3 linked regions of the Cricetulus griseus genome follow. The protein of the gene in region 1 purifies or fractionates together with the protein of each later gene. This does not show direct contact. Links are inferred from orthologs where the notes say so. Each region holds a gene or a part of one and is shown in the gene's direction. Other genes may lie near its edges. The genes, in order: Map3k4, Gadd45b and Gadd45a.

What was found.
Region 2: the proteins of Map3k4 (region 1) and Gadd45b purify together in Homo sapiens (co-immunoprecipitation; 3 studies listed by BioGRID and IntAct, counting the BioPlex papers as one, with this or other methods). This does not show direct contact. The link is inferred for Cricetulus griseus from reciprocal best matches to the Homo sapiens genes MAP3K4 and GADD45B.
Region 3: the proteins of Map3k4 (region 1) and Gadd45a purify together in Homo sapiens (co-immunoprecipitation; 3 studies listed by BioGRID and IntAct, with this or other methods). This does not show direct contact. The link is inferred for Cricetulus griseus from reciprocal best matches to the Homo sapiens genes MAP3K4 and GADD45A.

The regions. Positions count from the first base shown.
Region 1 is NC_048595.1:288,728,774-288,732,398, forward strand, and holds part of Map3k4 (mitogen-activated protein kinase kinase kinase 4), read left to right. Parts: intron 1-1,544; coding exon 1,545-1,661; intron 1,662-3,144; coding exon 3,145-3,244; intron 3,245-3,328; coding exon 3,329-3,412; intron 3,413-3,625. UniProt on the Homo sapiens protein: Component of a protein kinase signal transduction cascade. Activates the CSBP2, P38 and JNK MAPK pathways, but not the ERK pathway. Specifically phosphorylates and activates MAP2K4 and MAP2K6.
Region 2 is NC_048598.1:101,711,150-101,715,345, forward strand, and holds Gadd45b (growth arrest and DNA damage-inducible protein GADD45 beta), read left to right. Parts: upstream 1-1,525; 5' UTR 1,526-1,778; coding exon 1,779-1,822; intron 1,823-1,913; coding exon 1,914-2,015; intron 2,016-2,451; coding exon 2,452-2,674; intron 2,675-2,945; coding exon 2,946-3,059; 3' UTR 3,060-3,621; downstream 3,622-4,196.
Region 3 is NC_048601.1:76,185,696-76,189,759, forward strand, and holds Gadd45a (growth arrest and DNA damage-inducible protein GADD45 alpha), read left to right. Parts: upstream 1-1,155; 5' UTR 1,156-1,324; coding exon 1,325-1,368; intron 1,369-1,452; coding exon 1,453-1,554; intron 1,555-1,649; exon of another isoform or gene 1,650-1,669; coding exon 1,670-1,907; intron 1,908-2,809; coding exon 2,810-2,923; 3' UTR 2,924-3,513; downstream 3,514-4,064. UniProt on the Homo sapiens protein: In T-cells, functions as a regulator of p38 MAPKs by inhibiting p88 phosphorylation and activity.

The DNA.
Region 1 (3,625 bases):
AGTTGGAGCAGCCACTTCCACTCCAGGTTCAGGCAGGGTGGAACCACGAAACTCCTCCTCAGCTGGCACAGGTGCTCCTCATCTTTGCCTTTGGATGCCCCTGGTCTGGATTTCCTGTCCCCTTTCCATCTCTCTGTGTACTCCATCATTCCTTGTGTACACAGCTCTCAGTCCCCTGTTCCTGTCCAGATCCCCTACCCCCACTTACTCTCAGCATCAGCTGTGTTAGGCAGTCTGTCAGTCAGACTGTTTCCTGGGGAACGCTCAGCAGCCCCCTGTCAGGAAGAACACCCAAGCAGTGGGAGATGGGGCTGCATACAGTCGGCCTTCTCATCCAGTGTGTGTCCTCATCTCCCGGACTGCACACTGTGTAGCCACAGCAGTCCCTTCCATGCTCACAGGCTGGGCAGGTGAAGCTCACTGCCCCAAATGGACTACTCGTCCCAGTGATTTTCATGACTAACTCATTTCCCCACTTCCTGCAGATCTTTGTCCATGTGCTGCCCTCCTATCACACTCAGAAGCTCTTACCCACTCAGGATTTCATTTTTTGTTTGTTTCTTCTATCCGTAAAGGGCTTTTGTCTCTTAACTTCATTGCTGCCCAGTAGCTTTTAAATAAATGCATCCTGATGTTTTATATAATATTCTTAAAATCCTTTTCTGGTCAAATCTCCTTCCTACTCAGCCCACCTGCTTTGATGGCCATGTGCTTAAACTAGTTATCATGGTAGCCAGGCCCTGCAGAGTACAGCCTGACCTCATTTGCTTCGGAGTCTCTTCAGGCTTTGCAGCCTGAACAACTCTCTCTGCTCCTTTCAGGTCAGATGCTTTGCTTTTTCCAGGTGTGCCTTCATACCTTAGTCCAGTTCAAGTTCCTTGTCTTTCCTAGAACCCCCTACCCCCACCCCCTGTCTTCTCTCTGAAGATCCACCCATTCCCCTTTGGATGACCCTGCTGACATTCAGTCTTTACCAGGATCAGGGCTTTCTGCCCATGAGAGGCTTTGCTGCCAGCTTGCTTTGGTCTCCTCATCTGATACCCTGTGTTCCCCACCATTTGATGGTTGTATACTTACCACTCTCTTTCTCTACCTTTCATCAATAGTGAAGGTTTATCACAGTCATTACCTCACTCTGTGTGCTTGTCTGTTCATTAATACTAGTGTTTAAATGGTCTGTTCATTGAGAAATTCAGGTGTGGAGTATTTGTCTTCAACAGCTGTAAGAGCTAACCTCAAGGGGAAGTTTAAAACCATCTGTGTTTCAGGAGTTTGCTTTTTCCAGCCTATCATTTGGGTTTTTTGAGGCATTTCATACCATCATGAACATTTAAGCAATAACAATGTAGAATCACATAGCTACTGCATACAATTTGCCGCTATGGTTTATACTCAATGTCATGTAATAGAACAAAGGTGGGTTGTGTTATCTAGGTTTCTGTTTCTCATCTGTCATGTGCTAAGAGAAAACTCCTGTTGATTTGGAACTGTTGCGATGACAGCTGATTTTCCTTCTGCTTTGCTGTTTGTCCCCGTCCCCCCAGCGACATTGCAGGGATGCTACTAAAATCCACAGGGAGCTTTCTGGAATCTGGCCTGCAGGAGAGCTGTGCAGAGCTGTGGACCAGTGCCGATGACAACAGTGCTGCCGATGAGCTAAGGTTGGCACCACACTGGCTTTCTGTCTTACTGCAGGAATCATACTTCCCCATGGGCTTCCAGAGATCTTTGTTCAGACTGGTTTGTGATGGACCTCTGGGGGTGTGAGTGGGGACACGAATGACATGAGGAGGAGGCATTGTTAGTGGTCTCCTGGTTGTGCCTTTACATGGAAAAAGAAAAACTTTAGAGACAAACTTCGACTTTAACATGATAAAAATATAATGGATATTAACTGAAAATGGCCATAGCAACAGTCTGTACCCATGTTTTCCTAGAGTGTCTTTAAATGTTACGTTTTTGTCCGTTAAACTCCTGTAGCACATGCTACCTTTTAATGCCATTTGGCACCTTTCTGTTGTTTATGCTTGGCTTATCCCTTCTGTTGAACATTCGGGTAAATGCATGAGCCATGACTCACCTGTGGAATTCCCTCCAGTGTCATGCAGATGCCACTGATCCATTGGATTGCACCCACTGTGTGTGTGTGTGTGTGTGTGTGTGTGTGTGTGTGTGTGTGTATGTGTGTGTGTGTGTGTCTCAGTGTGTGTCTCAGTGTGTGTCTCAGTGTGTGTCTGTATGATGTCTGATGTGTCTCTGTGTGTTGTCTGTGTGAGTGTATCTCTATGTATATCTGTCTGTATTCTGTGCGTGTGTCTGTATATGTGTATTCTCTGTGTGTATCTGTGTGTCTCTCTGTGCATATCTGTATGTGTATTTGTCTGTGTTGTAAGGTGTTGCCCATAGAACCATTTTGTGGCCATCTGTCTATCAGGTGCAACACTGGTCAGTCTGTACAGTGCATGTTCAGAGCTAAGGCATTTTACTCACTGACCAAAATCTGGTGAAGAGCAGTTGGGTTTCAGAACATCTGTATATAGACGTTCCCACCAAACTGGTAAACACTGATGGCTGAGACACCCAGTGAGCCTTTGTATTTTGAGTTACAATGTAAAGTCCACATGAGACTTAAAGAATGGAGGCAGTAAACTAGGTAGCAGCTCTTTGATAGCTCCCCTCATATGCCAGGGATGTGGAAGGGCCTTTGTGTGCCACCAGGCCTGCTCCATGGTGTCCCACTTCTGTGACCAGCACTGTGCCACACAAGTCAGCACGAGCCTCCAGGTGGTCCTAGGGGTACTAGCTGTATTCACTACACTGGGTGTGTGTTTTTTTTCAATTACTATGAGCTCTTAAACTCCAAGAACTTGTCACAGCAATGTCTAGAAAACTAAACATACCATGATTTGAGGGGTATTTGATGTTCCCTGTATATATGGAATATTCAAGTCCTTTCTGCCAAACCTGGAGGATCAAGCTCCCAGTACTGTGGCCACAATCCTGGTAACTGCTTGTTCCCATTGATGAAATTAACAGGTGCTATTTGTTGTTGTGATTTGAAATCTGCTGCATGTCTGTTACTAGCATGTCTGTGCTTAAACTCTGGTGGCCCCACGTGAACTAACTGAACTTCACCCCTGGCAGGAGGTCTGTCATAGAGATCAGCCGAGCACTCAAAGAGCTCTTCCACGAAGCCCGGGAGAGGGCCTCCAAGGCGCTGGGCTTTGCAAAGATGCTGAGGAAGGTGAGTCCACCAGCCTGGCTGCTGCTGCCTTTCTCATCTTGATCCTAAAGCCGATCCTAAGAGGCTTCTCTTCTGTGATCCTAGGACCTGGAAATAGCTGCAGAATTCGTACTGTCTGCCTCGGTCCAAGAGCTCCTGGACGTCCTGAAAGCAAAGCAGTATGTCAAGGTGAATCCCATGGTGTTCCTGGAGCCCTTCGTGTCCCTGCATTCTAAACAGGCTGTGGAGGCCGCACACTGACTGGACATGTTCCCAGAAGAACACACATTTTCAAGTTAGCCTTCTTATAAATGCAGGCAAAGAATCAACCACAGTGCACACTGGTTATTAATTTAGTTATGCATATTTAAAGTAGTGACTACAATAGTGGATACAAACGAT
Region 2 (4,196 bases), on another chromosome or scaffold:
TGTTCTCGCCCCCTCCCTTTCCGGAAGCTGCGCGCGCAGAGACCTCATGAGGCCGCCAGGTGTCGCCGGTGGGCCTCTCACGCCAGGGACATTTCGCGCGCTAGGTGGGCGGCGCAGAGGAGGCGCGATGCGTCACCGGACCCGGGGGCCGGGGATCCGGGGGAACCGAGCTGCGCGGCCGAGGCCAGGCCCCAGGCTGGCGGAGGAGAGGACGCGTTGTGAATCACCGGGAGCCCCCGTGCACCGTGGGAGAGTCCCACGCGGGATCCGCCCGCCCGCCCGCCCGCCTCGTGTCCTTGCTGTCTGGCTCTGCAACCAGCAACCATAGTGTAGCTCTGAAGAGAATACCCTCGGAAGCCTCAGTTTCTCTTTTGCATAATGCAGCTATCAGTCCCTTTGCTTGCCTAACGTTGTACAAGATAAATGGCACGCGTGGCAGAAGGGGCCCGCGGCTCATGTTGCGCACTGCAAAAATGCCAGGAACAAAAGAGCGGCTGCCATCCAGCCACCATGTCCCAGGGGGCAGCATACTTTCGCTTTGCCTCGGTTTCCCCGCAAGGGTCAGGTGTCAGAGGCTAGACCGTGAGGCAGCCGGCAGGGGGCGAGCCGCTCCGCAGAGCGCCTGCAGGTCTCTTCACCTGCGCCTCCCACGCGCACCCCACCCTGAAACTCTCGGGGTGCCGGGAGAAAGGGTTCCTTATCTCTCTTTCCCAGCGATCCCTTAGTGCTCTGCAGCTCTGGCCTCCGCGGTGATCCCTAAGCCACCTACCGAGGCCGCCAGGTAGCTGTAGCTTTTTGGGTGACCCCTCCCCGCCCCCTGCGCGGGGGGGGGGGCAGGCATTCTCAAAGCACGGTGGCGGTGTAGGGTGCCTCGTAGCTCTCACTTTGGGGTGAAGATCCCAGTGTCCTTACTAAGCGCTTACTGTATACCCTGGACGTGATTTAGATCCCTCTCCAACCTTACAAGGCGGGGATTGCGTTGGCTCGAGAAGTTCAGTTACCTAAGGTCCAGGGTCTCCAAAGATGGGCAAGACCCCCCCCAACGCACAAAAAGTTGCCATCCTGGGAGGCATCGGGCTGCAGACGGGGTCCTCGGGCCCCATGCACAGCCCTTTCCAGAGCAGTGCCTGGGAAAGGCTGGGGGACTCTCCGGGGACAGGGAGGGGATTCCAGACAGCCCTCCCCGAAAGTCCAGGCCAGACTCGCGCGCTGGAAACCCCGCGCGCGGCCTGCGTAGCGCGGCTGCCGGGAAATCAGGAGAGAAACTTCTGTTTTTTTGTGTCTGCGTGTGTGGTTTTTTCTCTCTCTCGCTCGCTCGCTTTTCTGGCACTCAGGGCTGCTCCGGTTTGCCCTCCTCCCAGCCCTGACCCCCACGTGGGGCAGTCTGCTCTTGAGCTCCGCCTTTTCAACCACCAGCCAATCACAGCGCGGTGCACTCAGCTCTTTGTGTATACACCAATGGGAGGACGGCGTAGGCCTCCAGAGGCCACGCCCCCAAACCGAGAGTTTATATAAAGCGGCTCCCGGCGGCCGCGCGCTCACTCCCTTGCAGCCCGGGTCCTGTGTGCATTCTGATTCTTGGATTAATTTTCGTGGGGATTTTGCAACCTTTTTTTCTCTCTTGCTTTTTTCTTGGGAAGGGAAGTCCCGCCGCCTCCGGAAGACTTTGGAAGCTTCTGATCGCACGGAAAGGTGTTTTTCCCCTTGGGTTGAGTCTGGGCTCATACTTCGCCCTTGGGGACCTTTCGTGGGGGTCCGCTGTGGAGTGTGACTGCATCATGACGCTGGAAGAGCTGGTGGCGAGCGACAACGCGGCTCAGAAGTGAGTACAGCGGGGACCCGAGGTCTCTCCCGCAGCCTGAGGTTGGCCGAGCTGTCATCGGCTAATCGCCTCCTCTCCCTTGGCCTCTTAGGATGCAGGCGGTGACCGCCGCGGTGGAACAGCTGCTGGTGGCCGCGCAGCGTCAGGATCGCCTCACCGTGGGGGTGTACGAGGCGGCCAAACTGATGAATGTGTGAGTCAGCACGCCCCTTTCCCGGGCGTAGGTGGGGGCGCCCCTCTGATGCACTCACGCTCCCATCACCCCTGTAGGGCACAGGTCTTTGGGGGACTTTCCCAGTGCTCTCTGCATTGGGGAGTGGAGAGCGACATTTCTCTGGGAACTTATTTTTTGGGGGGATAGAGACTCGCTGCAGAACCCTGACATTGCAAGTTTGAGGTTTTGTTTTTTGTTTTGACAAGACAGCCTCAGTAACTTTGAGCCATGCCCCCTCCCCCACCGCCATCAGAATTTGCATAGTTGATCACCCCAGCAACCGTGCAGCGCTGGGGGGGAGGTTGTTCTTGCACCTTTAGTCTTGTCCACACCTCTCCCGCCTGAGGTCCCCGAGCTCGTGCACGATGCCATCCTTCCAGCTCTGGCCTCCCCTGACACCCCCTTTCTCCTGCAGGGACCCTGACAGTGTAGTCCTGTGCCTCCTAGCCATAGACGAAGAGGAGGAAGATGACATCGCCCTGCAGATCCACTTCACACTGATCCAGTCGTTCTGCTGTGACAATGACATTGACATCGTCCGGGTATCCGGTATGCAGAGGCTGGCACAGCTCCTGGGCGAGCCCGCAGAAACCCTGGGCACCACTGAGGCCCGAGACCTGCATTGCCTCCTGGTCACGGTGAGCCCGGTCTCTCTCTGTCTCTCCCTGCCCCACCCTGCCTGCCCTGGGCACCTAGATCCCGTGTTTGTCAACATAGCTGGGCTGGCTGGTCCAACACCAGCTCACTGCCCAGCCACGCTAGGCATGTCCCGTGGGCTGCCTCATCACCCTGGCAGCTATTTTGAGCCAGCCTGTTTTTCACCAAAGGGGCCCCTGGGCGCCAGAGGGCGGTTCCCTACCGAACTCCTAGAGCTCCCACTAAACCCTTCCTTTTTGTCCCCCTCCACAGAACTGTCACACAGATACCTGGAAAAGCCAAGGCTTGGTCGAGGTGGCCAGTTACTGTGAGGAGAGCAGAGGCAATAACCAATGGGTCCCTTATATCTCTCTGGAGGAACGCTGACACTCTACAAACATCTAAAGCAACTGTTGAGTTGCTGTCCCGTAAAAAAATTAAATAAAATACATATTTGACCCCCCCCTCATCCCCAAGAACAATCCCTCAAAAGCCACCCTACCCGTGAGACCTTCCGGGAGGGGCGGAGTCACCGCGACTGAGATGAGAGGGGAGTGCGCGCCCGCCCGCCGGCTCTCTGGGCGGTGGAACCGGAGCAGCACCGCAGGTGGTCGCCGAGACAGGAAGGAGGGGAGCCCAGGCCGGAGGAGGAGCCCGGGGCGTTGGAGCCCGGGCCTGGGGATCCTGCAGCCAGCCTCTGCACGCAGCCGCAGCGGGGAGCGCCGAGGGTCTGCACTCGACGCCGCAGGCAGGGGCGAGGCGTCCGGACCCTGCGGGACAGTGAACTGTGCACGGCGGAAGAGGCGACCGTAGCCGCGGGAGCCGGGACGACCCCGGGACTGCGACTCTGACACGAATCTATTTTGTTATTGCGCTGAGCAAGGCAGGTCGCTTGCGTATTTTTTTAAGTTTCTACTACAGAGACATTCTAATAAACTCGTTAAGCCTCCGGGTCCTCGTGTGCTTCCCTCCTTCGCCCGCCCTCCGGTCGCCCCAGGTGTGGCCCTGTGTCGCGCCGCGGCCACCCGGCCTCGTCCGCAGCTCTGAGCGCGTAGCTCTAGACACTGCTGCTCTGCCGCAGGCGCCGCCACCCAGCTCCGGCTTCGCAGCAATTAAGAGGGTTTATTACGAAACCTGGCGGCCCAGCCCCCCTGTTACCCGCAGGGCTGGAGCCGAGGCCCTGGGTCGGCGCACTGGGAAAGGGACCGCACTCCCCCTCCCACCCCACGACCCAGACCAGAGACGCTGTGAGGGCGCCTGAGGCCACACAGCAAGGGGTCTTTGTGGGGTGGGACTCTCGATCTCCCCTGGGGGCGCACCCTTTTTCTCATGCACCCAAGCTCTCCTTCCTGGGATGGGCCTTGTGGATGCACAAAAGGAAAAGAATGTTTTTTTCATTCTTTCCCCGAGCTAAAATCAACAGTAGGAAAGCACCCTTGGTACACTCTGCATCCTGTCCCAAACCGAAACCGCATGCTCCCTGGGCTCTCCTGCCCTGCCGGCCTTAGTTTACCTGATCCCATC
Region 3 (4,064 bases), on another chromosome or scaffold:
CAATTTTGTTACTTCAGTTGGATCAGGCAATGCTTTTGTATTTATCAAATAAGCTCATAAAACAAAGGGACTTTTGAAGTACTCAGTAAAAGTCTACATTAAAAATTGTTTTTAATGTGTGACTCCTGCTTGCAGTTATGAAGGTTTGCCTTCCACCTACAAGTTGCCATTATCTCAAAGGTGAAATTTTAGCACATGGCTAAAATGTTCTATAGTTACAGCTTCATGATTCAGCATCAGTAATTCAGAGTGAGATCATAGGCAGTGGAAGGTGGTGTCATACTCTTTTGCCTGTGAAGGGGCGACCAGGGAATGGCATAAGCATATTGAATTTAGACTGTGGCTCCTGTGAGTACCACAATTTGTCTCTCAGCTCTTGCCTGATCAGAAGGTGCCCTCGGGAAAGATTTTAAGAATGGTAAATTTGGCTCATTAGGCATGTTGATCACCAGCTCCCCCCACCCACCTTATATGGAGTGGGCAGAAGTTTTATCAGCTTTTCGTGGAAAAGATTCCAACTTGGTACCGTGCCATCACCACACACCAGTGTGCTGGGTTTTCTATTTGGAGCTTCAAATTCTTGCACCCAACCAAAAATAAATCAAGCCAGCCATCAGGGCACCAAAAGAATACTACTGTGAAAAATCAGCATTGCCTGAAACTTAACATATAAACAACACTTCTGAAGCAAGTTTTGCGTGGCACATCCGGACACTTTAAAAATACCATCTGCTTACTAATAACAGCTACACCAGGGTGCATTAACCCTGGAAATAAATTGTAAAATCAGCCCCTTAACACAAACAACACGAGACGACCATCAAAAGATCTCCACAACTAGAAAAACAATTGGCAGGCTGTTTTCAGTACGAGCTGAGGACACTGGAACCACCGCAAAGCCCTCCTCACCAGATGGCTCCACCAACTCCCAGAGCTGGCTCAGGACCCCGCCAACCCGGTTTCTGCACCACTCTCATCCCTGGGGGCTTCCCTCCCGCGTAGCTCCGCCCCCTTCCGCTCAACTCTGCCTGGGCTGGTGGAGTTAGGGTCTGAGTGTCAAAGTCTGCTAATTTGCATAAGCCAATGGGTGCATTGCATGCAAATGAGGCGGGCCCTGATTGGCTGACGGCTAGCCCCATAACTCCGGAATCGGGGGCCTTTGTCCTCCAGTGGCCCGGAGGAAGCTGTGCAGTCCTCACCTACCGAGACTTAGGCGAGAAGCGGCGAAGCGGCGGGTGGGAGCCGAGCGAGCGCGGGGCTGGCGCCGCGCACTGGGGGGGGCAGGAGCAGCCCGCGCGCCGCGTGAGGGACTCGCACTTGCAATATGACTTTGGAGGAATTCTCGGCCGCAGAGCAGAAGACCGAAAGGTAAGTGTGCCTGCGGACTCTGTGGCCGCTGCCCCTCCCGCCGTCGGGGACCCGGCTGACCCACTCTCGCCCTGCCGCCCGCAGGATGGACACGGTGGGAGATGCCCTGGAGGAAGTGCTCAGCAAGGCGCGGAGTCAGCGCACCATCACCGTCGGCGTGTACGAGGCCGCCAAGTTGCTCAATGTGTAAGTGGTCCCGGCCGCCCGCGCCCCTGCCTCCCGCCCGCCCCCCCGCCCGCCGCCCGCCTCTACCCCGAGCTCCCTGGACAGTGTGCACTCACCGCTGCCCCGCTGTCCGCAGCGACCCCGACAACGTGGTACTGTGCCTGCTGGCTGCAGACGAGGACGACGACAGGGACGTGGCTCTGCAGATCCATTTTACCCTCATCCAGGCGTTCTGCTGCGAGAACGACATCAACATCCTGCGGGTCAGCAACCCGGGCCGGCTGGCTGAGCTGCTGCTGCTGGAGAGCGACGCGGGCCCGGCGGAGAGCGGGGGTGCCTCGCAGCCCCCTGACCTGCACTGCGTGCTGGTGACGGTAAGGGACCCGGGGCTGCAGCCCGGAATCTGTTGGGATAGACCTCGGCAGTGCTAGACGCTGATCTCGCGGGGGTTCTGATGGTACCGAGCGTGTCTAAGCTCGTGGGTGGCCTCCAGCGGCGGAAGATAGCCCTGTGAGTCAGCAGGCTGCCCAGCTACCTCTGCCTACCTCTGCACTACCTCGCGTGACTAATTCTCAGAGCAGGACAGATTAGATAAAGCCAAATAAATTCCCGGCTCACCCTTCATTAAGAAGTCAGCTTCATTCTTCATTTGCTCTCAAAGCTAAATATAGAAATAGAGTAGGAGACAGACCTTATTAATTCGCTGGAGATACTCTGGTGTGTACAGAGTGGAATTCTTTTCTCTGAACCTTTGTATTTGTTTAGATGAGCCCCCCCCCCCACGCACACACACACACAAACACACGCCCTTTAAAAATTTCTGGTTGAATAATGTTTTCAGAGAGAAATGTGCTGTCTTGGTCTTCTGTTTTTTTGTTTTTGTCCTTTCTCTGCCTTGACTGGTGTAGGCAAGTGGCACCCTGATTACTTTTGCTGCCAGTGAAAAGTGCCATTCATCACCAGGGAAGATAAGAGTGAAGCTAAGCTGCCTGCCCTGCAGCTTTCACATGGTGTGCGAGAATGTTTTCAGAGCTATTTTACTTATGACCCTACTAGGGTGCATGCTTGATAGGTTCAACTTATGAATGATAACCTCATGCAGAATGGTACAGATAATTATGCAAAACTCTGTGGCCCAGTGTGCATTACAGGTGTTTAGATCTTGCCAAATGCTACTTAACAGAATGCTCAGGTTTTGGCCCTTTCAAAAGTAGTACAATTAGTAGCATAAGCTGATGATTTTATGGAAAAGTAATTTTTCTAAATTTGTTCTTAGAACCCACATTCATCACAGTGGAAGGATCCTGCCTTAAGTCAACTTATTTGCTTTTGTCGGGAAAGTCGCTACATGGATCAGTGGGTTCCAGTGATTAATCTCCCCGAACGGTGATGGCATCTCAATGGAAATAACTGAACCAAATTGCACTGAAGTTTTGAAATACCTTTGTAGTTACTCAAGCAGTTACTCCCTACGCTGATGCAAGGATTACAGAAACTGATGTCAAGGGGCTGAGTGAGTTCAACTACATGGGGGCTAGGAGATGACTTTGCAGATGGACAGAGGTGAAAATAAAGAAGGAAGCTGTGTTGAAACAGAAATCTAAGTCAAAAGGGACAAAAACTACAAAGAACTGTGCAAGAAAGAAAACTGTTGATTTAGGATGGCTGAGTTACATTAAATAAGCCAAATATTGCTTTGTTGAAACCTTAAATGTGTAGCAATAGTTTGTTTTTTTTTTGTATTTGTTTTTTGGTTTTTTTGTTTGTTTGTTTTTTGATCTTTATGCCCTCAAGTAAAAGGAAAGTGAAAAGGATTAATTGTATTTTAAAGCTACAGGTTAATGTATTTTGATGAGATGTTAAATTCTCAGAAATTTTATTATAAATCGGACTAAGTTATTTTATGATATGAAAGGTTATTTATGATAAAGTTTTTGAAGCACAATATCTAAAATAAACTGGTATGGAATAATTGCATCATTTTCACTGTGTGGTTTGTGTTGTGCAACATTGACTATTAACAGACATTTCATTGAAGCCTTGCTTTACACTAGGCAGAAAAATGGGTGATTTTAGAGGGCTTGGATAAGGGAAAAAAATGTTTACGGATTCCCCTTGCAAAGTTTGAATAACTACAATTAGTTATTTTAATGCTACAAAAATGCATGCAAAATGTAGAAGCAGAGAGGAGGGCAACCAGGGCCACTTGGAAGATTAGTGGAGCTTTTGCTGAGGAGAAATCATTTTCTTGGGGTCTTAAGAAATAACCTTAATTTCTCTAGTTAGAGAGAGGAAAGGGATGTTGCTAACAGCAGTTTGTGCAGAGGTGTGGAGGCCTGAAAGATCACAGCCTGCATAGAGACTGACTCTGCATGCCTCTGGTGTAGAAAGATAAGAGAGAGAGGGCTGGAAAGAGTAGGTGGGGGGGTAGGTTCAGACTCTGACAGGCATTCTCGTATCATTTTTACGTATTTGAACTTTCCTCTGTAAATTGGCCACAGTCTGCAGAGGCCTTCATTCTGCAGAAGGAA